Linked DNA regions of Callithrix jacchus. The protein of the gene in region 2 binds, or shares a complex with, the protein of the main gene of each other region. Links are inferred from orthologs where the notes say so. Each region holds a gene or a part of one and is shown on either strand. Other genes may lie near its edges. The genes, in order: TRIB1 and COP1.

Region 1 (15,763 bases), on a different chromosome or scaffold from region 2:
AAAATAAAATGATTGCAGGGGTATTCCGGGTGGGGCAAATAGGAAGAAAGGAGGCATTCCTTATTCTTTAAACGTCCCTCTCCCCTTTTGTCCTCTCTCTAGGTTGGGGGACATCTGTTTCCAGGCTCTGAGCCCCTTTTCTGCTATCTGGAGGGTCTCTTAGGAAGACAGCCTCCCAGGGGAGCATTTCTGGGGAGTAAACTCAAAGGTCGCCAGGGTCTGGGCTGCTAAACTAAATGCGAGGCGGTGCATATTAGACAGTAAGGAGTAGTGGGGACTGTGGTGAACTGGACAGTGCATGCCTCACTTCCCAAAGAATCGCCAGCACTGAGATGGGCTAACAAACATGGCTGAAGACTGGATTTGGCCTGTGAGTTCCTGCTTCTTGATTTCTGACATTAAATAAGAGAATTAGTGTCAGAGATGAATGGGACTCAGAGATCACTGAACCCACCAAGGTCAGTGGTTTTCATTTTTTTATTCAAGAGCAGTGGAAGCCTTTTCTCTAACAAGATCTTACACAAGAAGCGTAATCTAGAACATTTGATTAAAGCTGGGATGGGTAGCTCAGAGTCCCACATTAGCTTCCTGCTCTCTCCCCAGATTCCACCATGGTAACTTGAGGGTTGCAGGGAACTCAGTGTGAATATCACCAGTTCAGCATCTTCATTCAAAACAAGGAAAAAAGCGGCCAGGCTCTATGGCTCACACCTGTAATCCCAGTGCTTTGGGAGGCTGAGGTGGGCTGATCACTTTAGGTCAGGAGTTTGAGACTAGCCTGGCCAACATGGTGAAACCCCAGCTCTACTAAAAATACAAAAATTAGCCAGGTGTGGTGGCAGGTGCCTGTAATCCCAGCTGCTTGGGAGGCAGAGGCGCTAGAATCACTTGAGCCAGGGAGGTGGGGGTTGCAGTGAGCTAAGATCGCACCACTGCACTTCAACCTGGGTGACAGACAGAAACTGTCTCAGAAAAATAAGAGTATGAAAGAAAGAAGTGACCTACTGTGAGCTAACAACACATCAGGCCTCAAACCCAGGTCTATTTTTTTTTTCCTTGAGATGGAGTCTCACTCTGTCACCCAGGCTGGAGTGCAGTGGTGCAATCTCAGCTCAATGCAACCTCTGCCTCTTGGGTTCAAGCAGTTCTCCTGCCTCTGCCTCCAGAGTAGCTGGGACTACAGGTGTGCGCCACCATACCTGGCTAATGTTTTTGTATTTTTAATTGAGATGGGGTTTCGCCATGTTGTCCTGGCTGGTCTTGAACTCCTGTCCTCAAGTGATCTGCCCGACTCAGCCTCCAAAAGTGCTGGGATTATAGGAATGAGCCACTGTGCCTGGCCCTCAAACTTTTTAATTCATTGTTTTTAGAATGTGGGGTCGGAAGCATAATGCACTGGACACATACCCTCTGTGTGCGGCTGCAAAGCCTCATGTGCCATGAGACAGGAACATGGAAACTGGGGACCCTGGTCTCTGAGGATTTCTGCTTTAGAATGGGTAGAACACTCAGAGCCTTCCTAATGTTGCTGCCGTGCACCTACCTTGGCATGAATGAAAATGAATCAAGCCAGAGGTCAGCAGCCTAACCTTGCCCAAAAAATCAATACAGGTTTCCCCATGTTACATAATATATGAGCTCCTGAAAAGTCAGAGGTAAATCAATTTTCTTGCAGTTGGACATGTATTGAGCATCCAGTATCAGCTGAGCATTGTGCTGAGGCTATGCGGGACACACACGCATGTGTGGTCATTGATGATTCCAGCTTTCAAGCCTGATCGTAAATGTACCAGAGGAGCTTGTGAATGTCATCCCTTGGTAGAGACCCTTTAATATGGGAAGAATGACTTCCTCATTTCCATTCTATTTATTTTGATATTCTTATTTGTTGATTTGAATTTTCTTTTCCTTTTTTTTTGTTAAACATTTTAAAATTATACTTTAAGTTCTGGGGTACATGTGCAGAACGTGCAGGTTTGTTACATAGGTATACACGTGGCATGGTGGTTTGCTGCATCCACCCCGTCATCTACATTAGCTGTTTCTCCTAATGCTATCCCTCCACTATTCCCTCACTCCCTGCTCTCCCTCCCCTAGCCTCCCACATCCAACAGACCCCAGTGTGTGATGCTCCCTTCCCTGTGTCCGTGTGTTCTCATTGTTCAACACCCACTATGAGCGAGAACATGCCATGTTTGGTTTTCTGTTCCTGTGTTAGTTTGCTGAGAATGATGGTTTCTAGCTTCATCCATGTGACATGAACTCATCCTTTTTTAATGGCTGCATAGTATTCCATGGTATATATTTGTCATATTTTCTTTATCCAGTCTATCATTGATTGGCATTTGGGTTGGTTCTAAATCTTTGCTATTGTGAACAGTGCTGCAATAAACATACGTGTGCATGTCTTTATGGTAGAATGATTGATAACCCTTTGGGTATATACCCAGTAACGGGAATGCCAGGTCAAATGGCATTTCTAGTTCTAGATCCTTGAGGAATCACCACACTGTCTTCCACAATGGTTGAACTAATTTACACTCCCAAGTCATTCTCCTGGCTCACCTCTCAAGCAGCTGGGACTACCGGCACACGCCATCACGTCTGCCTAATACTTGTATTTTTAGTAGAGACGAGGTTTCAGCATGTTGACCAGGGTGGCCTCGATCTCTTGACCTCGTGATCTGCCTGCCTCAGCCTCCCAAAGTGCTGGGATTACAGGCATGAGCCACCTTGCCTGTAACAGGGGTGGAGGCCAGGCTCAGTGGCTCACACCTGTAATCCCAGCACTTTAGGAGGCTGAGGTGGGAGGATTGGTTGAGCCCAGAAGTTTGAGACTAGCCTGGGCAATCTCCACAACAAAACAAAACTGCGTAGGAGAGGAAAACTAGGCCATTATTAGGCCCATTTCACCAGTGACACAACCGAGGCTCATAAAGAGCCACTGGCTTCCTCAAGTGAGTATGTGAAAAGTCTGAGGGAAGTTCAGTCCAGATTTTGTTGTTAGTGAAGCTCTCTGTAAAGAAATCAAGACCATTTTAGCTGACTTATGCCTCAGCCTGCCTGATCTCAGGCCTTGCCAAAGGTCCATGTCCACTTTCCCCTGAATGCAGGCTGGGAGCCCCCCAAGCTTAAGCCCCTACACTCCACCTCCCATTACCTCTCCAGGGCCAGACATTGAACTCTGAAATCCGACTCCTACTTTCCAGCCCCCATCTCTGTTGGAAGGCCAGTTTTTCCTCTCCATCTGTCATCTCAGGCTCTTCCTATGGGTGACCCTTTGCCCTGGAGTGCATTTATTCGGTTAACACTTACTAAGCACCCCCCTTATTTTTGGGAGATGGAGCTCTGTTGCCCAGGCTGGAGTGCAGTGGTGAGATCTCGGCTCACCACAACCTCCCCCTCTTAGGTTCAATCGATTCTTGTGCCTCAGCCTCCAGACTAGCTGGGACTACAGGTGCCTGCCACTACCCCCGGCTACTTTTTGTATTTTGAGTAGAGATGGGGTTTCACCATGTTGGCCAGACTGCTCTCCAACTCCCAACCTCAAGTGATTCACCTGGCTGGTCTTTCCAGAGTGCTGGGATTATAGGTGCGAGCCACTGTGCTTGGCCTTAGTCCCTTTTTGATAATGGACACTGGGCTGGGGGCTGGATGAACATGAATGAACAAGACACAACCCCTGACCTCTGGGAACACAGTTGTGTGGAAAGGGTTGTGGGATTGGCTTGACAGAGGACTCGACAGCATTTGGTAAGACACTGAGATCTGACTGCAGGTGCTGGGGAAATCCAGATGGTGTTTTGAAGGATGAGTAAGAGTTCCTTTTCTTGGAAAAGGAAGAGAGGGAATTCCAGTGGGAGGGACCAGCACAGGCTGGAGCGCAGAGGTGTGAATTGGCAGATTGATGAGTTTGGGGCCCTGCCAGGAGCTGGCATGGGTAGGACAGAGGGGAGGAGGTGAGAAAGGTGCGGGCTGGAAGGGAAGCGGGGCCTGGAAGAGGGCCTACTTTTCCATACTTCGGTGTTTGTATTTTATCAAGGGGTGGGGTTCCCTGCAAGGTTTTAGGTGAGTGCCTTATATGATCACATTCAGATTTTAGGAAAATGACTAACAGCTGTGTGGGAATGGATCAAAGGGATACAGGACATACTGTATTATATGCATCACTGTGTCTCCAGAGCTTAGTAGGTGCTGGCACAGAGTAGGAGCTCAATGTTTGTTATACAGGACATACTGTATTATATGCATCACTGTGTCTCCAGAGCTTAGTAGGTGCTGGCACAGAGTAGGGGCTCAATGTTTGTTGAAGGGATGAATGAGTGGCTCCGTTAGGAGCTTACAGCAGGAATGCAGGGGAAGGTTGTGAACTAGGACTATAGAGGTCTGCATGTGGGAAAAGGATAGGGTTTCTATTAAACAGGGTCTGGGCAGAAAAATGGAACTCAGGCCAGGAATTTCAGTAGAAAGAATTTATGTGGGCTGGGTGTGATGGCTCACACCTGTAATTTCAGGACTTTGGGAGGAGGCCTAAGCAGGGAGTTCACGAGGTCAGGAGTTTGAGACCAGCCTGGCCAACATGGTGAAACCCTGTCTCAACTAAAAATGCAAAAATTAGCTGGGCACGGTAGTGCACGCCTGTAGTCCCAGCTAGTTGGGAGGGTGAGGCAGGAGAATTGCTTGAACTTGGGAGGCGGAGGTTGTGGTGAGCTGAGACTGTGCCACTGCCCTCCAGCCTGGGTGACAGAGCGAGGCTCTGTCTCAAAAAAAAAAAAGAAAAAAGAAAAAAGAATTTATGTGGAGAACTAGTTACAAAGGTATAGAAAGGGCAGAAACAAAACGGAACAAAAGATGGTGCTGGGGGCCACCCAGAGGTTAGCAGCATCTGGAAGCAGCTGGAGGGACAAAAGTGGTTTCGCCTGCTCCCAGAAGCCAGAGTCCTCGGAGTGAGCTTGGACCATGAAGAGGGGGTGCCACGGCTTGAGCTCCCCAGGAAGCCGACTCTGAGATGCAGGCCAGCCTGCGGGAGGTTTATTAGGGGATACCATGGGAAGAAGGCCAGGAAGGAACAGGATTGGGCAGAGGAAAAAGCTGGCCTGTGATGCAATTTTAGGAAGGCCTCAATTGACCCAGTCTGGGAGCTCTGAAGCTGGGATGCCTTTGAGAGGTGGCCGAAGTTGGGACAAGGGGACCTTTATTCTCCCATGATCAGCAGTCACTAGATGTGGACCCCTTGGGAAGGGAGTGTGAACTCCAGCAAGGTGGCTCTTCTCAGTCAAGGCCATTTCCGAAACAGCTCCTGATAAGCACTCCCAGCAGCCGGGGAGATACCTTCTCCAGTTGGGCAGTGGGATCCGGCGGCAACGCAGAGGGGCTGCCTCCCCGGAGCCCCAGAGGAGGTGTGGCCGGCTGCTCCAAGCAAAAAGTAGTTCTCTCCTTCCTCCCGCCTTCCAATCTCCCTCCAGGGCCTCCCACTGGGAAAATTGGGCTGGAGGCCAATGGGCAAGAGAGCCTGAGAAGCAGAGCTAGCAAGGGCCAGCCCCAGGGAGCTGAACAGAGCGGGGTACGGCACAGCACCGAGAGCTTGTAGGTCTAGGGTAGACTATGGGAGAGAGGAAAAAGGCAGATTGAAGGGGAACCTACAATGAGTGCCTGTGATTCTGGCCCCCGGGTGGGTGGGGCTGGGTGGATGGTGGCATGCCTTTCTCTCAGAAGAGGCAGAGAAGGAGGCACACGTTGGGGAGGAAGATGCTCCAGGGCCATATTGACATTGCCATTCAAGTACTGGCAGCTCAGTGGATCTTAAATTCTGGCACAGAATTATCTTCGAAGACAAAAAAACCTTAAGTGGGGCCGGGCGTGGTGGCTCAAGCCTGTAATCCTAGCACTTTGGGAGGCCAAGGTGGGTATATCACTTAAAGTTAGGAGTTCGAGACCAACCTGGCCAACATGGTGAAATCTCGTCTCTACTACATGTATAAAAATTAGCCAGGTGCGGGGTGCCAGGTGCCTGTAATCCCAACTACTTGGGAGGCTGAGGCAGGAGAATCACTTGAACCTGGGAGGCAGAGGTTGCAGTGAGCCGAGATCAGGCCACTGCACTCCAGCCTATAGGCAACAGAGGGAGACTGTTTGAAAACCAACCAACCAACCCACCCACCCTGAGGCGGGCTCTCTTCTGGCCACAGGACCAAGTGCAACATGGCCTTCAGGCCCTTCCCAACATTGTCCCAGGCGATCCCTGCAGGCTCAGCTCCCACCACCATTGTAGTTCCCCTAGCCTGCCCACTCTGCCAGCCCTGCCTTTCCTCACACCCCTTGGCTGGCTGGCCTGGCCTCCCACCACTCATAGCCTCCCTTGAGCATCTCCCTTACAGTCCTGCACCTCTCCCAGGTCAAATGGTTTCCAAAGAGAGTCCTCCCTCCCTAACTCCTGTTTTCCCCTGCAAATTGTAATCTCTCCTTCCAGCCGCCATAAGTGCTTAGGAGCTTGGCTGGGCCATCCCTTATGAGTTACTTAACTTCAGCAAGTAACTTCGTCTTTCCTTTTTTTGAGACTAAGTCTTGCTCTGTCCTGAAGGCTGGAATGCATTGGTTTTATCTTGGTTCACTGCAACCTCTGCCTCCCGGGTTCAAGTGACTCCCATTTCAGCCTCCCCAGCAGCTGGGATTACAGGTGTGCCCCACCACACCCAGCTAATTTTTGTACTTTTAGCAGACAGGATTTCACCATGTTGGCCAGACTGGTCTCAAACTGCTGACCTCAGGTGATCCACCCACCGTGGCCTCCCGTAGTGCTGGGTTTACAGGGGGGAGCCACCTCACCTAGAGTGACTCATCTTCCTAAGGCTTCAGTTTCTTCCCTGTGAAATGGGGCAAAAAATAACCCCATAGTGTGGTTGGAAAACTGAAGTAATATATGTAAAGTGCTAAGAATAGTGTCCTCACACATTGTAGGCCTCGATTCATATTGGCTATTATTATTTTAATTTTCTTTTTTTTAAAGATGGGGTTTCACCAGGTTGGTCAGGCTGGTCTTGAACTCCGGACCTCAGGTGATCCGCCCGCCGTGGCCTCCAAAGTGCTTGGATTACAGGCGTGAGCCACCACGCCCGGCCCTATTATTTTAATTTTCATCTTCTGGTTCCCAGTGTTTAGCTTTTAGTAGATGCTTAATTAGTATTTGTTGAATGGAGAACTAATCAGGAAAATGATTTATTCTTGGGGCTCAACCTGGTTTTAGAAAATTAAGTATTTAGCAGAAGTGCGAGGAAGAGCTCTCTGATAAGTTATATTGTTGGGTGCCCAGGGACTCCAGATTGACATGGTTCTCTAAAGAAAGAAAAACGACAGATTCCAAGTTGTTTCATGCACAACTTTCATGATCACCCAAATCAAGCGGCATGAATGCACGCACACCACCTGGCGGGGCTGCCCGGCTGCAGGCGGTATCCCTGGCAGTGGCCAGGACTTCCACAAGCCTACCCACCTACCCGGGTTGGCACTGAGGACTTAGACCCAGCAGCGCTTGTGGAGGCTGGGGAGGGAGCAGGAATCCGGCGGCAGCCACGTGGGCCCCTTCCGCCAGCTCCCCACATCCTTTGTTTCCCACTGGCCCTGGCTCAGGAAGCTCTTTCTGCGAGTCACTGCGAAGGGGCGGCCCGGGAGCCAGGAGAAGCTATTTCCGTGCAATCCGGGCGGGCGGCAGGCGCGGGGGATTGGCGGGGCGGCGGGGGGGGGGGGGGCGTGGAGGTGGAGGCAGCGCAGAAGGCCCAGTGTTTGCTTTTCTTTCATCCAACAGAAGGTTCTATTTGTGGAAGCGAACAGACGCTGGGGATTAGAGCTGGGAGGGAGCAGGAAAAGGGGGGAAAAAAGCCACATCCATTACCACGCACAGGTCTTCCCCGGAACTACCGCGTGGGGGTGAATGACTGATTCTGGAATTCATCACCTCTCTATCCCCCACTTCCTTGGCGGCGCCCACGGCTCCAACCGGAGCTCCCCAAGCGCTGGGCGGTGGGGAGATCCCCGGGGCCAAAGGCGTCGCCGCGGGGCTGCAGCGAGCAGCCGGTGCAGAGGACCGTGGTGCGCGCTCCCGCTTCGCGCCCGCAGCCCATTGTGCTTGCTGTGAATGAGGCGCGCGCACCAATCAGCGGTCGCTTCTCCCTCCACCCCCCGCCCACTTCCCGGGACCCTGACGTCACGGGAACTTTTCCTCCGCCCCCTCCTTCGGCTTCTCGAGCTGAGCCGGGGGCCGGCCGGAGGGCGCGCACCGCCTGCTGCCCAGCCCAGCCCAGCCCAGGGGGCGTGTGCGCGCGCCCAGGCTGGCCCGGGGCGCACCACCTGCGCCCGAGCGTGCGCTGCCCGGAGTATCCCCTGCCCTCGGGCCACCCCTATCCCCCCAACTCCCGCTCCTCCTCCCCTCCCCCCAGTCTCCTCCCTCCGCTCCGGAGACGGCTCGCCGGGCGGCGGGGCCGGAGTCGTCGCAGCCACCTCATTGCACAACCCGGCTTCCCAACTGTTTACACAGCCCGGCCTGTGAGTGTGTGTGTATACAGCGTGAGTCACCGGGAGGCGGAGGAGGTGGAGGAAAAGGAGAAGGAGGAGTGCACTGGCCGGGATCGGTGCAGCGCACACACTCACTCGCAGTCACTCTCTCTGAGCGCGTCTCGCTCGCTCTCACACACGCCCGGAGCCCAGGAGCGCGCGGGATCCCGAGCGCCGCGAAAAAGTTCCCCCGGCTTGCGCTCGAGACTCATCGCTTTGGGAAGTGCATTTGCTTCGTGGCTCTGCCGAGTCCTGTCCTCGCGGCTCGGGACGCCGGGATCGCCGGCCGCCGCCGCCGCCGCTTCTGCCTCCCGGACTGTCTGTCGGCAGCCTCGGCAACAATAGTGGCGGCCGCCCCCAGCGAGGCTCCCGGAGCCCTTGCCTGCAGGGGTCGGGGGACCCGAGCCGGCCTCTGCTTCCCGGACTCACAGCCTGCGTGGTCCCCGCGTGCAGCGCGAACGCCGGGGAGCGACTCCTGCTTTGCCCCTCGTGGGGGCCGAGCCCAGCCCCATCTGCAAACTCCATCCCCACGGGTGGAAGAAGTCGCGGCGCCGGCGCCAAGCCCGCAGCGCCTTCCCGCGCGGATCCCGGGACTTACAAAGCCGGGGCTGCTCCGGCCCGGGACGGGATGCGGGTCGGTCCGGTGCGCTCTGCCATGAGCGGCGCCTCGCAGCCCCGCGGCCCGGCCCTGCTGTTCCCGGCCGCCCGAGGTGTTCCGGCCAAACGCCTGCTGGACGCGGACGACTCGGCGGCTGTGGCGGCCAAGTGCCCGCGCCTCTCCGAGTGCTCCAGTCCCCCGGACTACCTCAGCCCCCCCGGCTCGCCCTGCACCCCGCAGCCCCCGCCTGCTGCGGCGGGGGCCAGCGGCGGCTCCGGGAGCGCCCCGGGGCCCAGCCGCATCGCCGACTACCTGCTGCTGCCCCTAGCCGAGCGCGAGCATGTGTCCCGGGCCCTGTGCATTCACACTGGCCGCGAGCTGCGCTGCAAGGTAGGCGCTCCCGGGCCAGGACCCGGCGGGGTTCTGAGGCTTGGGACAGGGTGGTCGGCAAAGGTGCTTGGGGTCCGGCCAACGCTTGAACTGGGCACAGGACGGATCAGTGGATTGGGTCCGATAAGACTGCTTTTGACCAGGTTCACCTTTTTGTGGATTGGGCGGTTTCCCATGGAGTGGGTTAAGGGGGCTCCTAGAGGAAGTGCAGCGTTCAGTTGCTTTCTCTCTCTGATCCTTTCCTTAGCGTCTCAGGGTAGCGCGTGGCGTTCCATATAAGTTGTGGAATTGAAATGGATTCCAGGGCCATGCCATTCCCCTTCTCTCATTATCCTCACTCTCCACCTCCCGCAACGCTCCCCCCCCTCCCCGCCTTGTCCTGGAAGGACGCCCTGCAGTGGGTGCCTCCTGGGAGCTTGAAGCAGCTGGTAGCTTTCTTGCCCGGCTTAGTTGTAGGTGGTAAGGGGGCTGGAAGACTGTGTCCGGCTCCTGCCTTGGGGATTCCGAATTGACTCCGCGCGGCGACTAGAACACGCCCTCCCAAGGGAGCAGTCCCAAAGCCTTCCACCCGAGGCAGAGGAATCTGTGCGGAGTAGAACTGTTGGAAAGCCCACACCGGCCAGAAACCCTCGCTTCGATTCACTTTATTTTCCAGCCAGCGATTTTTCCTTTGAACCTGGGGATCCCATCCAGGAGGAGGAGACACAGCACCTAGAAATGGGATCCGCCGAGTCCTCCTCCTGCGCCTGTAGACGCAGAAGGTTCCCACAGTCTACTTTCTGCGAGCCTGACACCCCTGTTTGAGTCACCACAGAGCACCCTCGGGCTGCTCCTTTTCACCCGAAAGATAGGATCACCCCCAGTTAAGCCGCTTCTGGGTTTTCCGCAACTCACCTGACACTCCCAACACCCGGACCCTGTCCCGGGGCTCGCTGCTGCCACCTACTGTCCAACTTTAATGAAATTTCAAACGCACGATCAAGCCTAGTTGAATAGGCGGAAAAAAAAACCCCCCTTTTCTTCATGACCGGGGTTAAGAGCTGTTCTGGGAGAGGCATGTGTGTGTGGTGGGATGGGGTGGGGTGGGAGGAGGGGGCAACAGGGGCTTTTTCTAGCTGGTGCCAGAGCAGCCAGGCCTCAGAGGTGGGGTGAGCCTGGCCATTGTGCAACCCTTCCAGTTCCTCTGAGCAGATAATAGCTGAATCCAGATGGTGACAGCCGTGTGTCACCGTTTCCAGTTGAGTCTAGGATATGAGTAACTGGACTAAACAAAAGGCCTTTAAAGGACCAGCCAGCTTTCTAGAAGAGAAGAGATACTACTCATTTCTAGGGGTGGGGTCGGGTGTGTGAGGGGGATAAACAAACAAATGAAAAAGCCTTTCTCGGGATCCCTTACCCCTCCTGTGAGAATTGTAACTCAAGGCTGCTTACACTTGAGTCAGACTCTAGGCAGGTTGCTTAAGGCTGCATTGTCCCTGCCTCCCCCTCCGAGTCATCTGCTCTTTCTGATTAATGACAACTCTGCATGTTCTCTGGCCCCTGCTTCCCCTTGGAGGCTGCAGAGTCACCACTTTCTGTGCCCTTTCTGTGCTGAGCACGTTGGGTCTGCAGGAGGCACATGTATATGCATGTCTGGGGTCCGCTTTTCAGTTCCTGGACATGCCAGGGGTGTCCTATCAGCCATTCACGAATGTAGCCTGCAAACAGGGCAGGGCCAGTGAGGGTGAGGGCTTTGCTTAGCTGTCAGGAGCTGATGGAAGACGGGAACATGTACATAAGACAGTTTTTTTTTTTTTTTTTTTTTTTTTTTGAGATGGAGTCTTGCCCGGTCCCCCAGGCTGGAGTGCAATGGCATGATCTCCGCTCACTGCAACCTCCACCTCCTGGGTTCAAGTGATTCTCCTGCCTCAGCCTCCCAAGTAGCTGGGATTACAGTCACCTCTCTCCACGACTGGCTAATTTTTGATTTTTAGTAGAGGCAGGGTTTCACCATGTTGGCCAGGCTGATTTCGAACTCCTGACCTCATGATTCGCCTGCCTCGGCCTCTCAAAGTGCTGGGATTACAGGTGTGAGCCACTGCGCCCGGCCAGAAGACAGTTCTTTCAAATAATCTGTGTGAATGCAGGAAACCCTTTCAGTGTTTGCAACTCTAGAGCCCTAGGGGTTACTGGTTTTAAAGGCGTTGCTAGCCGCTGTGGCTTTGGAAGGTAAAGGGGAGTAGATGAATGGAACTTACATCCTAAGCCCAAAGGTTGAGAACTTCGGATCAGCTCGGTAAGGGGTTTGGGAGCCACCTTTGCTGTTCTACCTCTAAATGGACCCCTTCTCTCTGCAGGTGTTCCCCATTAAACACTACCAGGACAAAATCAGGCCTTATATCCAGCTGCCCTCACACAGCAACATTACCGGCATCGTGGAAGTGATCCTTGGGGAAACCAAGGCCTACGTCTTCTTTGAGAAGGACTTTGGGGACATGCACTCCTATGTGCGAAGCCGGAAGAGGCTGCGGGAAGAGGAAGCCGCTCGGCTCTTCAAGCAGATTGTCTCCGCCGTCGCCCACTGCCACCAGTCAGCCATTGTACTGGGAGACCTGAAGCTTAGGAAGTTTGTCTTCTCCACGGAGGAGAGGTGAGCGGCCGCCACGGCTTCTCCTGTGGCCTTTTGGAACCAAATGGAAGGAGCAGGTCGTGTAGTTAGGTGCTGTGTGCTGGTGCAAAATGAAGTCGAGGGTTCATATGTCCCAGATTTAGTATTTAGAGCTTCTTTTCCTAAGGAGTCACAGCCAAGGTTGGTTTATTCTGCATTCTCTTGGATGGGGCCTGGGGGCACTGTGGCACATCTGTGGGATGGCACGTGTTGACAGGGTGCCCTCCCCTCTCCTCCCGCAGGATCAGGTTCATTCGCCATTGTTATCAGAAAGGTCAGCTGTTTGGGGTACAAATATTAAACCGCCCTTTACAATATTGCCTTCTAAAGGAAGTGTTCAAATCTGCTTATGCCAAGTGTTGCTTTGTACCTAGAAGGTTTCGCAGAGCTAGTGAGACTGTCATGTTTGCAGAATTCCCAGCCTCTTCTTTCACACTGCATTCCTGTCCCATCTCAGACCGGGTCCTCCGTACTCGCTTCACATTCTCTGGTGACTTTTTAGACATCTTATTTGGATACGTCTTCAGAAAATAGCCACACTGAATGATAAATGGAAGTTGGCTAGGATGGATTGCTAAATATAGATCATAGCTTACCTCATAAAGAACAAGATGAGCTTGATAAGAGGGTAATGAGGCATTAAGATTCAAAGCTGAGGTTTCAGACTAGAGAATTCAGGAAGCCGCATGAGATAGACCACACTTGATTTTAAGAGCCGGGGCCACATCCCTTGTGGAAAGATTAAGAGCAGTGAGACTGTAGTGTTGTAGAGGTGAGAGAGTGAGTTATTTTGTTGTAAGAAGTGGGCTTATTTCACCTGTGCATTTTTACCTTTGATTCCAGAGCATATGAAACAGTACAGGGTTGAGCTGTCATAAAGCATGAGTTGGTATCTGACCTCGCAATAATTATTGGAACATACTGATTAGCAAAGCAAAGCAAACTGTTGGCAGTGAAGAAGTTTCTAATTCCTAGAATATGCTCCTTTGATACGGTGATGCACTTTCTGAAACATGCCTTACACACCTCCTAACTAGCTTTTGAAATCCGCATTGCACAGGCGAATGTCATGGGCATGGGGTTTGGCAACCTGAGGGTTAAGCAATGTCAGGCTGACGCTATTCATGTAACCAGCACAGGTGCAGGGTTTTAGTGCTGTAGCAGCCAATCATGGGGAGACAGTGTGGGTTGAGTCATATTTTCCGTTTACAGAACCAATGGGTATTTTACATAACGACAGGGAGGTCACGCTGAGGACATACTGAAGTTAGCACATGTATACTACACTCCAGGGAACAGGAAGGCAGGAAGAAAAAAAAAATACCAGACCTTTGAGAGGAAAAGGAATTGACCCATCAGCCAGTACCAAATGTTTGCATTTAACTTCACTAGTGACTTACTGAAACAGGGCGATTTCAGAGAAGCAGGCAGAGGCAGGGTGTCACCAGATATTAGAGCTTTCCCACCTGGCTTTGGGCTTTGGGGAATCCAGGAGACATGGGTGGTTGGTTCTGAATCAGGAGGCACCTGCAGCTTCATAAGAGAGCCTTTGACTGAGGTTTCTGGGACTTTCGTAGTTACCTGAAGACAGACGCCCCTGTAGAATAAATATGCCCACATGTTAATGTGCCGTCGAGGGGAGTGTGTGTCCCTATAGAAGAATTTCCGGGGCCCTGCCTCCCTGAAATCCCTCATACTTTTGTTTGTGGGCATAACCTCTTTGTCCAGGCAAAGTGTTCTTTGCAGTTAAACACCCCAATAAATGTAATTAACATTCCTTACAACTTTCCCATCATAATTGTCACAGCCTGGGCCTAGGTGGACAAAGTTCATTCTGCGTGCGTGTATCAGTGTGGGCACCCGCGCTGAAAACCTGTGTATGTAATAGCAGTGACTTTAGGCTCCGTGTTCTGTAATGCAGTGTGGGTCCAGGGAGCCCCGGCAGTTAGCGGCATAAGAGAAAAGATGGGCTCGTAGGATGCTCAGGCCCTCCCTGAAGAAGCAAGATCTGCTGCTCTTCCCTGATAGCTTTTGTAGAGAACGCAGCACTCCCCTGAGACAAGCTCCCAGTTCTGCAATGCGAACTTAGTAGATTGTGTAACTCCTATTAGGATATCTCTTGTAAGCTCTAGCATTATGAATACTATTTGGGGCTTTGCATCATACCCTCCACCCCAGGCGCTCTGTCGATACTTTGCAAACATGTATTGCAGTTTGTGTTGGTTTGTGAAATCACGAGTCCCCAGCAGTTGCAGGCGCTGCTTACTGGATGAAGGGGTAAATAGCATTCCTTGAGCCTTTGCTGTTAGTGCCTGTGGGCGCTGTTATTGGGAAGGCTTTGTTTTTCATAGCAGCTGGTATGGCAATAATGGCTCGGTTCCTCTCTCTTGCAGAACCCAGCTCAGACTAGAAAGTCTGGAAGACACACACATCATCAAGGGGGAGGATGATGCTTTGTCAGACAAACACGGCTGCCCAGCCTACGTGAGCCCTGAGATCCTCAACACCACCGGGACCTACTCTGGAAAGGCTGCGGATGTTTGGAGCTTAGGGGTGATGCTGTATACCCTTCTGGTTGGACGATACCCCTTCCATGACTCGGACCCCAGTGCCCTTTTCTCCAAAATCCGGCGTGGACAGTTCTGCATTCCTGAACACATTTCCCCCAAAGCCAGGTGCCTCATTCGCAGCCTCTTGAGACGGGAGCCCTCTGAGAGACTCACTGCCCCCGAGATCTTACTGCACCCCTGGTTTGAGTCCATCTTGGAACCTGGGTACATCGACTCAGAAATAGGAACTTCAGACCAGATTGTTCCAGAGTACCAGGAGGACAGTGACATGAGTTCCTTCTTCTGCTAATCCCCAAAACCTCAGAAACCTCATAATTCTTACACCTGGTATTTCCATTTCTAAAGATGGACAGGCCCTTTGGCATGGTATCAACCAGATAATGACTGCGTTAGGATGAAGGCTGCTGAACTCGGCATGGCGCCACCTCTTATCTGTTGGGAGGAGTGACTTTACTGATGTGAGCGGCATACGCTGTGATTGGCTGCCCTGCAAAGTTATTTCTCTTAAGGAACTCTCGCCAACTCTCTGCTGGATTTGGGAGTTCCGCACCTTTTACGGATGGCAGGAGTATGGACATCCTACACCCGGTGGTCAAGTGTGTCATAAACTCGAGCATTTGAATGGGAGAAAAAGCAGATCGTATGATGACATATTTTGGGCAATAACCGTATTTTAACAGGGTGACACATTGGGCCGTTCAGTCTGCCATCTTTGAACTCATCTCTGGTAGCTAGACGTGCTACCGCAGCTTCTCTGACGGGAAGGTTCCTTTTTTGATTTAACACTCACCCATTCTTCACACTCACATTCAATGACTCTGCTCCGTTTTTGGAGCAGACCGTTTTAAGTTGCTCAGGAGCTGATGGAACCATGAACCCAGACTCTCCTCTGTTTCCTGCCAAGACCACATCTGCACTAATGCCTTCTCCCTGACCTTGACACTTTCCCCCTCTAGCTATGAAAGCACTTACCAGCCAAACGTGGACAGCATCGCAAAAGATTCCACCTCC
Region 2 (15,148 bases):
CACATGTTCTCATTCATAGGTGGGAGTCGAACAGTGAGAACACATGGACACAGGGAGGGGAACATCACATACCAGGCCTGTGAGGGGGTGAGATAGCATTAGGAAAAATTACCTAATGTAGATGACAGGTTGATGGGTGCAGCAAATCAGCATGGTATGTGTATACCTGTGTAACAAATCTGCATGTTCTGTGCATGCACCCCAGAACTTAAAAGTATAATTTAAAAAAAAGATTTGAAAGCAAACTATGTATCCATCAACAGATGAATGAATGAGGGAAATGTGGTACATATAAACAGTGAAGTATTATTCAGCCATTAAAAAAAAGAAAGATTCTGTCATTTGCAACAACATAGATAGAACTGGAGATCATTATGTAAAGCGAATAAACGTATAGAAGGACAAACGTTGCATGCTCTAACTTATTTGTGGGATCTAAAAATGAAAACAATTGAAATCATGGACGTAGAGAGTAGAAGAATGGTTATGAGAGTCTGGAAAAGGTAGTTGGGCTGTTGCAGGAGGTGGAGGTGGTTAATGGCTACAAAAAAATACACAAAATGAGTAAGACCTAGTATTTAATAGCAAGACAAGGTAGCTGTAGTTAATAATTTAATTGTACATTTTGAAGTAACTGAAAATATAATTAGATTGTAACATAAAGGGTAAATGCTTACGGTAGATATCTCATTCTCTATGATGTGATTATTCTGCATTGCATGCCTTTGTCAAAACATCTCATGTTCTACATGTGTATATACAAACTATATATTCACAAAAATCAAAAATAAAGTTTTTTAAACAAGTGTAGCACATACAGTTATGTATACTACACAATATTTTATAATCTTGTTTATGCATTTACTTTTTATAATTATAGAGTATTTTCTTATACTTGGTTTTTTTTTTTTTTTAGTTATAACAGCCATATAACAGTTATAACTGTATAACAGCCTAAGGTTGCCCTTCAGGGGACGTTCTAGAAGAAGGCACTGTTATCAGAGAAGATGGCAACTCTGTGCATTTTATTACCCCAGAAGTGCTGTAATTCCAGCACTGGATAAATAAAAGTGCTGGGAAGACAATGTGGCAATTAATCAAGGATTTAGAACTAGAAATACCATTTGACCCAGCAATCCTATTACTGGGTATATACCCAAAGGATTAGAAAAGACAAAACATAAAGGTGAAAACAGTAATATTGATTATTCTGACCATGTGTAGACCAAGCCTAATGTTCTATTTCTTAGTTTTGTGGAGTGGTTTGGGTTTTTTTTTTTGGTGGGGGAGGATGGAGTCTTGCTCTGTCCCCCTGGCCGGAGTGCAGTGGCGTGATCTTGGCTCACTGCAGCCTCCACTGCTTCCCGAGTTCAAGCTATTCTCTGCCTTAGCCTTCCGATAGCTGGGATTACAGGTGCCCACCTGTAATTACACCACCGCACCCAGCTATTAATTTTGTATTTTTAGTGGAGATGGGATTTCACCATCTTGGCCAGGTTGGTCTTGAACTCCTGACCTTGTGATACACCTGCCTCCGCCTCCCAGAGTGCTGGGATTATAGGCATGAGCCATTATGCCCAGCCCTATTTCTTAGTTTTTAACAAAAGAGTTTAAAAAGCTTTTTTATCTTAATTTTTTTAACTTACAAGGATATATAAAAAGGAAATACTTTGTACAGCTGTAAAATGTATGTGTGTTTTAAGCTAAGTGTTATAACAGAGTCAAAACGCTTAAAAAAAATTTAAAGTTTATAAAGTTAAAAAATTACATTAAGGTTAATTTATTACTAAATGAAGAACACTTTTTTACAGTAAATTTAGTGTAGCCTACATACACTATAATGTCCTAGGCCTTCATGTCTATTTACCACTCACTAACGCACCCAAAACAATTTTCTGTCCTGCAGACTTCATTCATGGTAAGGGCCCTGTATAGGTATACCATTTTTTATCTTTCATATTGTATTTTAACTGCACCTTTTCCATATTTAGATACTACATAAATATTTCCCATTGTTACAGTTGCCTACAGCATTCAGTATAGTAACATGATACATATGTTTGTAACCTAGGATCAATAGGTTATTCCATGTAACCTAAATGTGTAGTAGTCTATACCATCTAGATTTGTGTAAGTACACTGTATTATGCTCACACAATGACAAAATTGCCAAATGATACATTTCTTAGGATGTATCTCCATTGTTGAGCAATGCATTATTGTACTTACTGTTCAGCATCTCAAATCCAAAATCTCCAAATGCTCCAGTGAAGCATTTGGAGATTTGGAGCTCTGATTGTCATGTTGGCACTCCAGAAGCAAGGATTTGGGATTTTGGGGTTTCAGATGTGCAACCTATTAACAATTATATTAAATGTACGTATGTTGAACATTGTAACTTTCAGGGATTGGCAGAATGGGTTTACAAAAAAAAGTTAGAATCCAACTATATGCTGTCTACAAGAGATAGACATTAGACTTACAGACACAAATAGGTTAAAGTAACAGGATGGAAACAGACATACCATGTAAGTAGTAATCAACAAAAATGGTAGAATGACTGTATTTCTGTCAAACAGAATATACTTAGAGTAGAAATTGGTCTTAGAAACAAAGACATTTTATAATGGTAAAAGGATCAATAGTGAAAATATATATCAATTATCAATACACCTAAAAAACATTTTGTGGCTATATGAAAAGAAAATTCACAGTATTTTAAGGAAAATAAATAATTTGACTGAAGTTATGGAAAACTAGAATACTTCACTTTTGATTTTTCATGGCAAAACTGGACAAGAAATCAGCAGACTTGAATCACTTTGTCAACCTGACACAACAGACATCCATAGACCACTTCATCAGTAGAAGAACACACATGTTTCTCCAGCAAGTGTTAAACAGTCTACAGGAGAGACCGTATTTAGACCGAAAAGAGTCAATCAATTCAAAATAATTGAAGACATACAAAATAGTTCTCTGACCAAAATGGAATTAAATTAAAAATCAACAATAATAGTTCATTTGGGACATCCGCAATTATTTGGAAATTACATGACACATTGCTAAATAACTTGTTAGTCAAGAAATAACAAAGGAAATGTAAAAGGTTTTTAAACTGAATGAAGATCATATCATAATTTGTGGTATCAGCCGAAGCAATGTTTATAGAGAATTGTGTATTCTCAAGTGTCTGTCTTTAAAAAGAAAAACAAAGCTAACTGAAGACAAGCAGAAGTAAGGAAATAATAAAGATTAGAGTAGAAATTAATGATATAGCCAAAAGAGAAATGATAGAAAAAATTGTTAAAACTCGTAAGTTGATTCTTTGAAAAGATTAGCAAAATTGACAAACCTTTAGCTAGACTGAGGAAAAAGAGAAAACACAGCTAAAGTTAAGAATGAAAGATGACACATGACCACTGACTCACCTTTCATAAATTAAGAGTTATAGAAGTATACTCTAAACAACTGTATGCCAACTTAGTAGTTCAGTAACTTATTCAGTTATAAAACTTACTCAAAACATAGATGGAGTAAAAAATTCCTAGAAAGGCACAAATTAGCAAAACTAACTTAAGAAATAGAAAATCCGAATAGACCTTTGATGAGTAAAGAAATTGAATAATAATTAGCAGTCTACCCAAAAAACAAAACCGAGGTTCACATGGCTTTACTGGTGAATTCTATCTAATATTTAATGAAGAAATAATACCAGTACTTCACAAACTCTTCCCTGAAACCAAAGCCAATGATATCACCAAAATAGAAAAACACAGACCAATATTCTTCAAGAGTATAGGTGAAAATGTCCCCCCAAAAAATCTGCTAACCACATCCAACAGCACAAAATATATGTGTGTTGTGTGTGTGTGTATACACAAACATATATGTACACACACACACACGAAAACAGAATTTATACCAGAACTGCCAGATTTAACAATCAAAAATCAGTTATGTAATTCATCCTGTTAGTAGAATGAAAAACTAAAACCATGCAAACATATTATCAGAGACATAGAAAAGGCTTTTGACAAAACCCACACCGATTGATAGTAAAGATTAACAAACTTGGCATAGAGGGAAACTGGAAAATTTCCTCTGCCTGATACAGAGCTTTTCTGAAAATCCAACAGTAAGGTCATACTTAAATGGTGAAAGACTGAATGCTGTTCTCCCAAGATCAGCAATACAAAGGATTTTTGCTCTTACCTCTTCAGCATAGTAGTAAAGGTTCTAGCCAATACCCTAAAGGCAAGAAAAGGAAATAAAAGACATTTAGATATGAAAGCAAGAATTAAAAAATCCTATTCTACAGATAACATTATTTTATGTGTTGAAAATTTTAAGAAATGAATTTTAAGGAACTTTTAGGATTAATAAAAGTGTTCAACAGAGTCATTGAGTAAAAGATCAATATACAAAATCAACTGTATTTCCATACATGAGCAATGAACAATCCAAAAATAAAGAATATGATTCAGAATAACATAAAAAAGAATATAGAAGAAATTTAACAAAATAAGTGTAAGAGTTATACACTGAATATTACAAAAGAAACTTTTTGAGGAAAATTAAGAAGATGTAAACAAATGGAGAGATATTCTATAATCATAGATTGGCAGACCCAACATTGTTTGCCAATTCTCAAGTTGATCTACAGATCCAACTTAGTCACTCTGAAAATTTCAGTGGGTGGCAGGGCACTGTGTCTCATGACTGTAATCCCAGCACTTTGGGAGGCTGAGTTGTGGGAATCACAAGGTTAGGAGTTTGAGACCAGCCTGATCAACATGGTGAAAACCCATCTCTACTAAAAATACAAAAACTAGCTGTGAGTGGTGACATGCACCTGTGATATCAGCTACTCGGGAGGCTGAGGCAGGGGAATCACTTGAACCCAGGAGGATAGAGGTTGCAGTAAACAGATTGCACCATGACACTCCAGTCTGGGCAACAGAGCGAGACTCTGTCTAAACAAACAAACAAAAATTCATCAGGCTTTTTTGCCAAAAAATACTAAAATTTATATGAAAATGCTAAAGACCAGGGGAGCCTAAACAATTTTGGAAAAGAACAACAGAGTTGGAAAATACTTCTTCCCAATTTAAAAACTTAAAGCTAGAGTTATCAAGACAGTTCGTACTAGTAGAATGGTAGATGTATATAGATCAATTGGTTAGAATTAATAAACCAAAAGTAAATCCTTATTTATCATGAATTCATTATCAGCAGAGGTGCCAAGGAAATTCATTCAGTAAAGGACAGTCTGTTCAACAAATAGTGTTAGTAAAACTTGATGTAACGTCACAGCCTTAAATGCAAGAACTAAAATAATTTTAGAAATAGGAGAAAATCTTTAATACCTTGGATTAGTCAAAGATTTCTTGTTTGCAACATAAAAAGTGTGGTCTAGTAAAGAGAAAAAATGAAATTTCACATCCAAGATTCAAAACTTTTATTCTTGAAAACATACCATTCAGCAATTATAAACAATAGCAACAGAATGTTTGAAAAAAATTATAGAACATACATCTGAGAAGCGTCTTGAATTCAAATATTTTTAAAAATTCACGTAAACTGGAACCCTCATGTGTTGCTGATGGCAATAAAGAATGATGCAGTAAACAGTCCATTTCTTAAAACGTTTAATATTACCATGTGGCCCAATAACTACTCTTCTAGGTATCTACCCAAGAGATATGAAAACATGTCCACATAAACACTTAATTGTGATTTTTCATGTCAGCATTATTCATAATAATAAAAAAATGGAAACAAATGTTCATTACCTAGTTAGTTGATTGACAAAATGTGGTACATTCACATGGTGGATACCATTCAGCAATAAAAAAGAGCTGCTAACACACATTGAAAAATAGTTGAACCTCAAATCAGAACATTATGCAACATGTAAGAAGCCATACACAGAAGCTACATAATATTTATATAAAGAATTTATAGAGACAGACAGGAATAGAGGTTACCTATGACAGTAGATGGCAAATGAGTGATCTTAATTGGAATGCAAAAATCTTCTAAAACTGATTTATGGTGATGGTTGAACTGCTGGTAAAATTTAGTAAAGACTGTTGAACTACATACAGTATTTTCAGCAAGTGTATTTTATTATATGCAAAATATATCTTAATAATCGTTTTTTAAGGCAAATGTGGGAAATAAGATTATATAGCATTATGTTTATCCACATGTCCCAATGTTTATATTAACATTTTTTAATGAAACCATTAAAACATAAAGATTGATTTTTAAGTTGTCTATTATTTTGAACCCCTGTTACTCTCTTTTTAAAGCCAGTCTTATTTTTTGAAAAGGATTTCTTTTCCAGTTTTCTGGCTGTTAGAGGTTAGATATTATATGTGAAACTTTTAATGAAAAAAAAAAACAGTTAAAATTAACTTTACTTTCCATTTCTGTATTTACTGCATTTATCTAATTTTGTTTTGTTTTAGATCACTGTGTCCATTACTATGATCTTCGTAACACTAAACAGCCAATCATGGTATTCAAAGGACACCGAAAAGCAGTCTCTTATGCAAAGTTTGTGAGTGGTGAGGAAATTGTCTCTGCGTGAGTATTACTCTATTCAGAGGTTGAGCTTAATACAGAGCTCTGTACTTAACTTACCAGTTTGTAATGTCACTGAGGGTGTATGTAAAACTATAATATTGGAGTATATGTACTTTTCTTAAATAGTAGATTTTTGATGTCTTGTTCAATTAAAAATGTTTGGGTTCAGGTCTGTATTACACACTTTTATGTGTAATTTGTGGATAAAATCTGAAGATACTAGCTATTTATATACCTCCCCCCTTATCTAATCTTCATATGTTTAATTGCATTTGAACTTCGGATTACATTTTAGCTATTGCTTCTCAAGAAGAGATAAACAACATAGTCGATGGAATGGAATGAGAAGTATTTTATTTATTAAAGTCAACTAATACTACATATTTTATCTACTTACAGTATAGTCATAGAACTATTTTTGGTTTTAAATATCACTTGGTTGGCTTTTACACTGACATGTTCATTTCTCTGTGATTTCATGGTGAGCTTTTTTTTTCTGGGACAGATTCTTACTTTGTCACCCAGGCTGGGGTGCAGTGGTGTTGTCCCAGCTTACTGCAACCTCTGCCTCCTGGGTTCAAGTGATTCTCCTGCCTCAGCCTCTCCAGTATCTGGAACTACAGGTGCATTCCACTACACCCAGCTAATTTATGCATTTTTAGTAGAGACAGGGTTTCACCATATTGGCCAGCCTGGGCTCGAACTCCTGACCTCTGGTGATCCACCTGCTTCAGCCTCCCAAAGTGCTGGGATTACAAGTGTGAGCCACCATGCCTAGTCAACAGATGAACATTCTAACTCAGTCTGGCTCCAGAGCAAACTGTATTGATTCTAATTAGCAGTGTTGAGTTTCGTGACAAGAAATTTTAACTATGTTCTTACTCTTTGTACTTTTCCTCAGCTCAACAGACAGTCAGCTAAAACTGTGGAATGTAGGGAAACCATACTGCCTACGTTCCTTCAAGGGTCATATCAATGAAAAAAACTTTGTAGGCCTGGCTTCCAATGGAGATTATATAGCTTGTGGTAAGTGAAACCATCATTTCCAGGAACTTTTTAACAGGTATTTGAAATTCAACTCAATGGAAATAGACTAAATACTAAGGAAAAGGTCTGTGCACTCAGAAGATAGTATAATAGGCTTCATGCCCCAGCACTATTGATTTTCCTCGTGTAGTACTAGAAGAGCATTAGTCCTTCTCTTTTTTATTGTGTACAAACCCTGAACACCTGAAATAGCACAAAATTTTTAACTGTTTTACTGTCGTTCTCTATTATAACATATTCTTTAGATATTGTTTAGGAGACAGAAAAGATTAAGTTCTGTGAATAATATTTCCAATTTTGGAGACGTTATATGTCTTCTAAACTTGATATTCATTTTTCCCTATCTGCTGTTCTCTTCATGAAGTAATCTATTTGCTTAGCATTGATCTGTTATTCTAGGACTTTTATTGTTGATAATTTATACAAATTTAAATAAGAAGTAGAAAAATGAAATTTGATATTTGAATGCTCTGATATGTCTAATGCGTGAATATATGAGCTTTGATCATTACTTTTAAATGACTTGGTCTTTATTCAGCACAGTTTACTTTCTCCAAGTATGTATGAGAATGCCAAAGCAAATATCTGCAACAATTCTCCTATCTTAATAGATGGCTCAAAATTACAGTTCATAGACCATTAATAGAATAATTCCTATACTGAGAAATGGAAATAAATTGTGTATGCTGTTAAAATTTGCCTATGTAAGTGCTGCCACTTCCTTTTACCTCTCTAAATGGAAATCTTTCTAAATATAATTTAAGATCCTTGCTGTAATAACATATTTCTGATTCTACTATAGGCTTATTATCAGGTAGGTACAGAAGCAATTAAAAGTAATGACAAAAACCACAATTACTTTTGCATCAACCTTATAAATGATTTTATAGGGTAATTTCAGCCTTAAAATTATCAATATTATTATACCATTTAACACTGATTGTTTCTTTAGATTAGTAAAGTATACTTTTGTCCAAGAATCCTTTTCTTACATAATTTCTAATTAGTCCTGTGATCTAGCCTTTCAAATTTGCCCATAAAAGATCTTTGACCTAAAACTTTGGGTGATAATTTCTATTGGAATGTGATGTTCTAATTCCAAGTTTTCCTATTCTAAAATATTATTATTGTTTATTTTCAGGAAGTGAGAATAACTCTCTCTACCTGTACTATAAAGGACTTTCTAAGACTTTGCTAACTTTTAAGTTTGATACAGTCAAAAGTGTTCTGGACAAAGACCGAAAAGAAGATGATACAAATGAATTTGTTAGTGCTGTGTGCTGGAGGGCACTACCAGACGGGGTAAGTTTTCATATTGCTTTTTCCACCTTGGAGTCTCATATCATGCATTATGAATACACAGGGTTTAATTAAGTTTTAAAATATAAATTGCTGTGTGATATGTACTTTTTTTTTAAGTTTATATATAATGTGTCACCAAAGACAATAGTCATTTTTAGGTAGTGATTGAAATGCACAGTAATAGAGCAATGTCATGGTGTCATTGTGTCCCTCTGTGACCCGTAGCATCTAGTGTATATCTCAGTTATAACCATTATCATATTTTCTCTTTATATCTCTTCTATAAGACTGGAAGTTCCTCCAAAATATATACTGTCTCATCTTCTTTATTGATTATGTGCAGTATATGCTGGATAAACATTAAGCTGAGCTGGTATGTTAATAAGAAGAAAAAGAATTGATCTAGGTAAAGGAGAGTGGCCTCTATGTTCCTCTAATTAAATACTATTTCAAAGTAGAATTACTCTCTATAAAATACATTTATATACAAATATTTAAGCATGTTAAGTTTCTTAATGAGAAAATTATACTACTGGGTTGTATAAAGAGAAGTTGCCTTAAACTTTACTGTTACATTTTAAAGTGTAGGGTTTTCCATAAGTTGTATGAAAAACTAATTTTTGTTACTATCTTGATTTATATAAACATGAATTGTTAGTATCGTATTTTTAAAATAGCTTTTTACATGCTTAGTTGGTTTCATTTTTGACAAAGAAATTCTGACTTGATATGTAATTTTAAAATTCAAATTTCAGATATAGTTTCACTTTAATTAGATATATTCTATTGCTGGGTCCATTTCCAGTTTTGCTAATTGACATACTAGAAAATTTGGACCAACTCTTCCTCCAAGTAGAATTAGAAAAGTAGGACCAAATGTATGTATTTTATAAACAGGAACCTATTTGAAAGCATTAGAAAGCACACAAATACAGGAAAGAATGACCAGATTAGGATTGTGGCTTTTGAATCTGCTTTTCCCCTGTGATCATTTGTCAGTTTTGGTGGGGTGGGTGAAAGCACTTATATTAGCTTCACAGGGTTGCAGGGACTGGAGCTCAGCACCTGTCATTGTATGGTTGACTACTTTAATCCCCAAATGGATATAGTATAGGGGAAACCAGTAGAAGATAAGCCTTCATAGCGATTGCATCTAAACTGCATATCAATCTCTGAAATTGAATTGAAGTGACCCTTGATTGGTAATATCCACTGGATGCAAACTTAAATCCTCTCTGAACAAAGATAAGATAATCTAAGGGCTTAACTTATTTTTTTTCAGTTTTGTAACTACAATAACTAGGGTACAATCAAAAATAAATAGACACAGTAAAAGATAAGACAGCATGAATTAAACCAGCATAAGCAACAGGCTATAGAAAATAATATTGTCTGGTAACTCCAATATTTAGAGCTGCTGTGACTCTAAATATTGGAGTTATCAGACAGCTTGAAAGTAATTATGCGTACAACTTGAAAGACAAGACTGAAAATTTTAACTGAGAACTGGAAATAATTTTTAGAATGAAAATTCTAGAGTTGAAAAAAAATTACAAAAATTAAGAATTAGTGGATGTGTTGAATGGAAGACAAACTAAAAATAAGAATTAATGAACTGATAGGTAAATTAGGAGAAAATACACACATGGAAGCATAGGAAGACAAAATGATGGAAAAGTACAGATGGCAGATAAAGGATCAAGTAAGAACCTATAACATATTCAATAGGTGACCTACCAGGAGACAAGAGAAAGAATGCAGCTAGAGCAAATATTAGAAGGGATTATTGTTGCTTTTCGATCCGCCATCTGCGCCTCACGTGGGGCCGCCACCAAAATGCAGATTTTCGTGAAAACCCTTACGGGAAAAACCATCACCCTCGAGGTTGAACCCTCGGATACGATAGAAAATTTGAAGGCCAAGATCCAGGATAAGGAAGGAATTCCTCCTGATCAGCAAAGACTGATCTTTGCTGGCAAGCAACTGGAAGATGGACGTACTTTGTCTGACTACAACATTCAGAAGGAGTCTACTCTTCATCTTGTGTTGAGACTTCGTGGTGGTGCTAAGAAAAGGAAGAAGAAGTCTTACACCACTCCCAAGAAGAATAAGCACAAGAGAAAGAAGGTTAAGCTGGCTGTCCTGAAGTATTACAAGGTGGATGAGAATGGCAAAATTAGTCGCCTTCGTCGAGAATGCCCTTCTGATGAATGTGGTGCTGGAGTGTTTATGGCAAGCCACTTTGACAGACATTATTGTGGCAAATGTTGTCTGACTTACTGCTTTAACAAACCAGAAGACAAATAACCGACTTAATAAAAGACATGAACTAAAAAAAAAAAAAAAAAAAAAAGAAGGGATTATTGTTGAGAACATCAGTTGATCTGTGATACCAAGGCAGAGATTCAGTAAGCCTTTCAACTGCAGAGAAGGAACGACTAGAAATCTACAGTGTGATTGAAGGTAGAACATCATACTGAAACTTTGAACATACGTAGGCCTGCCTGAAAATCTGACCTTGGGTCCGACTTCTTATAGCGCTATTTCCTTGTAAACATCCTGAGTTAAGAGAAATATGGAATGTTATATGCCAGGAACTAGCTATCTCTTAAATTTACTAAGAAAACTTACCTGCGACATCACACCTGGACTGAGTGAGAGAACTCTGAATTGGCATAAGGGCCCTACATCTATGAAAATTGAATAGTGTAAGATTGGCAGGTAACCAGGGCACATCTGTGGATTGAGGTAAACCACATGCATCTCAACTGTCTCTGGCAATAGTGAGTACTCTTCGTGTATGTGGGGGAATGATTGTTTGGCCTCCTTAAGAGTTTTAAGATACTGTGTGCTAAATTCTATCCTGTATCCTTCTATAAATCTAACTGAGGGCTAGATTAAAGCCTCTTGTATCTGATCCTATGACCTCTGCCAGTGGTAGGATTGGTCACACCTTGCAACACAGTAAAATTGCTGAAAATAGCTAAAATACAAAGAGAGTGTATTAGTCAGTTTTCATGCCACTAATAAAGACATACCCAAGACTGGGCAGTTTACTAAAAAAAAAAGAGGTTTATTGGACTCACAGTTGTGGCTGAAGAGGCCTCACAATCGTGGCGGAAGGTAAAAGGCATGTCTCATATGGCAGTAGACAAATAGCTTGTGTTCCCTTTTTAAAACCATCAGATCTCATGAGACTTACTCAATATCATGAGAATAGCACGGGAAAGACCTGCCCCCATGATTCAAGTACTTCCCACAGGGTCCCTCCCAAAACACATGGGAATTAAACATGAGATTTGAGTGGGGACACACCCAAACCATATCATTTCACTCCTGGCCCCTCCCAAACCTCATGTCCTCACATTTTAAAACCTATCATGCCTTCTCAACAGTCACCAGAGTGTTATTTCAGCTTTAACTCAAAAGTCCAAAGTCCAGCAGCTCATCTTAGACAAAGCAAGTCCCTTCTCCCTATGAGCCTGTAAGATCAAAAGTAAGTTAGTTAATTCCTAGATACGATGGGAATGCAGGCATTGGGTAAATACACCCATTCCAAATGGGAGAAATTGGCCTAAACAAAGGAGCTACAGGCCTCATGAAAGTCCAGAATCCAGTGGGGCAGTCAAATTTTAAAGTTCCAAAATGATCTCCTTTGACTCCATATCTCACATCCAGGTCATGCTAATGTAATAAGTGGGTTCCCATGGTCTTGGGCAGCTCCACCTCTGTGGCTCCCAGGGCACAGCCTCCCTCCTGGCTGCTTTCACAGGCTGGCATTGAGTGTCTGTGACTTCCAGGTGAATGGTGCAAGCTGTCAGTGGATCTGTCATTTTGGGATCTGGTGGATGATGGCCCTCTTCTCACAGCTCCACTAGGTGGTGCCCCAGTAGGGACTCTGTGTGAGGGCTTCAACACCGTATTTCCTTTCTGCACTACCCTAGCCGAAGTTATCCATGAGGGTCCCATCCCTACAGCAAACTTCTGCCTGGATATCCAGGTGTTTCCGTACATCCTCTGAAATCTAGGCAGGGGTTTCCAAACTTCACTTCTTGACTTCTGTACACATGCAGGCTCAACACCACATGGAAGCTGCCAAGGCTTGAGGCTTGCACCCTCTGAAGCCATGGCCTGAGTTCTATTTTTTCCCCTTTTAGTCATCACTCGAGTGGCTGGGACATGGGACACCAAGTCCCTAGGCTACACACAGCATTGGAACCCTAGACCCGGCCCAAGAAGCCACATTTTTCTCCTAGGCCTTCGGGCCTACTATGAGTGGGGATGCTGTGAAGACCTCTGACACAACGCTGGAGACATTTTACCCATGGTCTTGGGGATTAACATTTGGCTCCTTGTTACTTATGCAAATTTCTGCAGCCAGCTTGACTTTCTCTCCAGAAAATGGGATTTTCTTCTCTGTCACATTGTGAGACTGCACATTTTTCAAACTTTTATGCTGTGTTTCCATTATGAAACTGAATGCCTTTAATGGCACCCAGGTCACTCTTAACGTTTTTTCGCTTATAAATTTCTTCTACCAGATAGCCTAAATCATCTCTCTCAAGGTCAGAGTTTCAGAAATTTCTAGGGCAGGGGTAAAATTCCACCAGTCTCTTTGCTAAAACATAACAAGAGTCATCTTTGCTCCAGTTCCCAACAAATTCCTTATCTCCATCTGAGACCATCTCAGCTTGGATTTCATTGTCTATATCGTTATCAGCATTTTGGTCAAAGCCATTGAACAAGGCTTTAGGGAGTTCCAAACTTTCCCACATTTTCTTGTCTTCTTCTTAGCCCTCTAAACGGTTCCAATCTCTCCAACCTCTGCCTGTTAACCAGTTCCAAAGTCACTTCCACATTTTGAAGTATCTTTTCAGCAGCCTCCCATTTCTGGTACCAATTTACTATATTAGTCCATTTTCACACTGCTGATAAAGGCATACTTGAGACTGGATAATTTATAAAAGAAAGCGATTTATTGGACTCACAGTTCCAAGTGGCTGGGGAGGGTTCCTAATCATGGCAGAAGGTGAAAGGCACGTCTCACATGACAGCAGAAAAGAAAAGAAAGCTTGTTCAGAGAATCTCCCCTTTTTAAAATCATCAAATCTCATGAGACACATTCACTATCACAAGAACAGTTTGGGAAAGACCTGCCCTCATGATTCAGTTACCTCCCACTGGGTCCTTGCCACAACATACGGGAATTTAAGATGAGATTTGGGTGAGGACACACCCAAACCATATCAGAGTAGTCTTTTTCATTCCTTTAAACCATCAATTTCTTTTCCTTTTGGCAAATAACTGTATTTGTGGAGTACAATATGATATGTTCATGTACATTATGAAATGATTAAATCAATCGCATTGTGAGGCTGCAAATTTTTTGAACTTTTGTGCCCCCTTTCCCTTATGAAACTGAATGCCTTTAGCAACACCCAGGTCACCTCTTGTATACTTTGCTACTTAGAAATTTCTTCTACCAAATACCCTAAATTCTCTCTCTCAAGGTCATAGGAATGAGCATATCTATCTTCTCACATACAGATTCTTTTTTAGTGGGAACATTTAAAATCATATTCTCTTAACAATATTGAAATATCCATTATACTATTATTAACTACAGTTACTCTGCTATGCGTCTCAAAAACTTTTTTTTTTTTGGTCTAATTAGCTGAAAGTTTAGAGCCTTGGGCCAACATTTTGGCATCCTCCCACTCCCATCCCCCGCCTCTGGCAACTACCATTCTATTCTCCATTTCCCTTGAGTTCAACTTTTTAAGATTCCTCATATAAATGAGATCATGCAGTATTTCTTTCTTTGTGTGGTTTATTTTACTTAGCATAATGTCCTTCAGGTTCATGTAAAGCTGAATAGTATTTCATTATTTATATACAGTTTAACCTTGAATGACATATGGGGGAAAGGGGCACTGACCTTCCACACAGTTGAAAATTTAGGTATAATTTGATTCTCTGACCCAAAAGCTTAACTACTAATAGCCAACTGTTGATTGGAAATCTTACCAATAACATAAATTGATTAACACACACTATATACTATATTTTTACAATGAAATAAACTAGAGAAAAGAAAATATTAAGAAAATCACTAGAGAAAATATATTTACTATTCATTCAATGAAGTGAATCATAAAGATCTTCATCCTCATTATCTTCACATTGAGTAGACTGAGAAGGAGAA

What was found.
Region 1: the proteins of COP1 (region 2) and TRIB1 are in contact, whole or in part, in a crystal structure (PDB 5IGQ), measured with the Homo sapiens proteins. The link is inferred for Callithrix jacchus from reciprocal best matches to the Homo sapiens genes COP1 and TRIB1. Residues at the interface, in NP_071902.2 of Homo sapiens: Ile423, Ser425, Val441, Lys472, Tyr491, Trp517, Asp534, Ala556, Asn557, Cys559, Ala576, Asp577, His578, Lys600, Ala601, Ser603, Thr618, Lys643, Asn644, Phe645, Phe699; in NP_079471.1 of Homo sapiens: Asp355, Gln356, Ile357, Val358, Pro359, Glu360, Tyr361.

Annotation. Positions count from the first base shown.
Region 1 is NC_133517.1:71,932,567-71,948,329, reverse strand, and holds the start of TRIB1 (tribbles homolog 1), read left to right. Parts: upstream 1-8,617; 5' UTR 8,618-9,175; coding exon 9,176-9,535; intron 9,536-9,983; exon of another isoform or gene 9,984-11,258; intron 11,259-11,871; coding exon 11,872-12,164; intron 12,165-14,575; coding exon 14,576-15,041; 3' UTR 15,042-15,763. UniProt on the Homo sapiens protein: Adapter protein involved in protein degradation by interacting with COP1 ubiquitin ligase. The COP1-binding motif is masked by autoinhibitory interactions with the protein kinase domain.
Region 2 is NC_133519.1:27,159,854-27,175,001, forward strand, and holds part of COP1 (E3 ubiquitin-protein ligase COP1), read left to right. Parts: intron 1-6,476; coding exon 6,477-6,594; intron 6,595-7,495; coding exon 7,496-7,620; intron 7,621-8,782; coding exon 8,783-8,943; intron 8,944-10,020; exon of another isoform or gene 10,021-14,013; intron 14,014-15,148. UniProt on the Homo sapiens protein: E3 ubiquitin-protein ligase that mediates ubiquitination and subsequent proteasomal degradation of target proteins.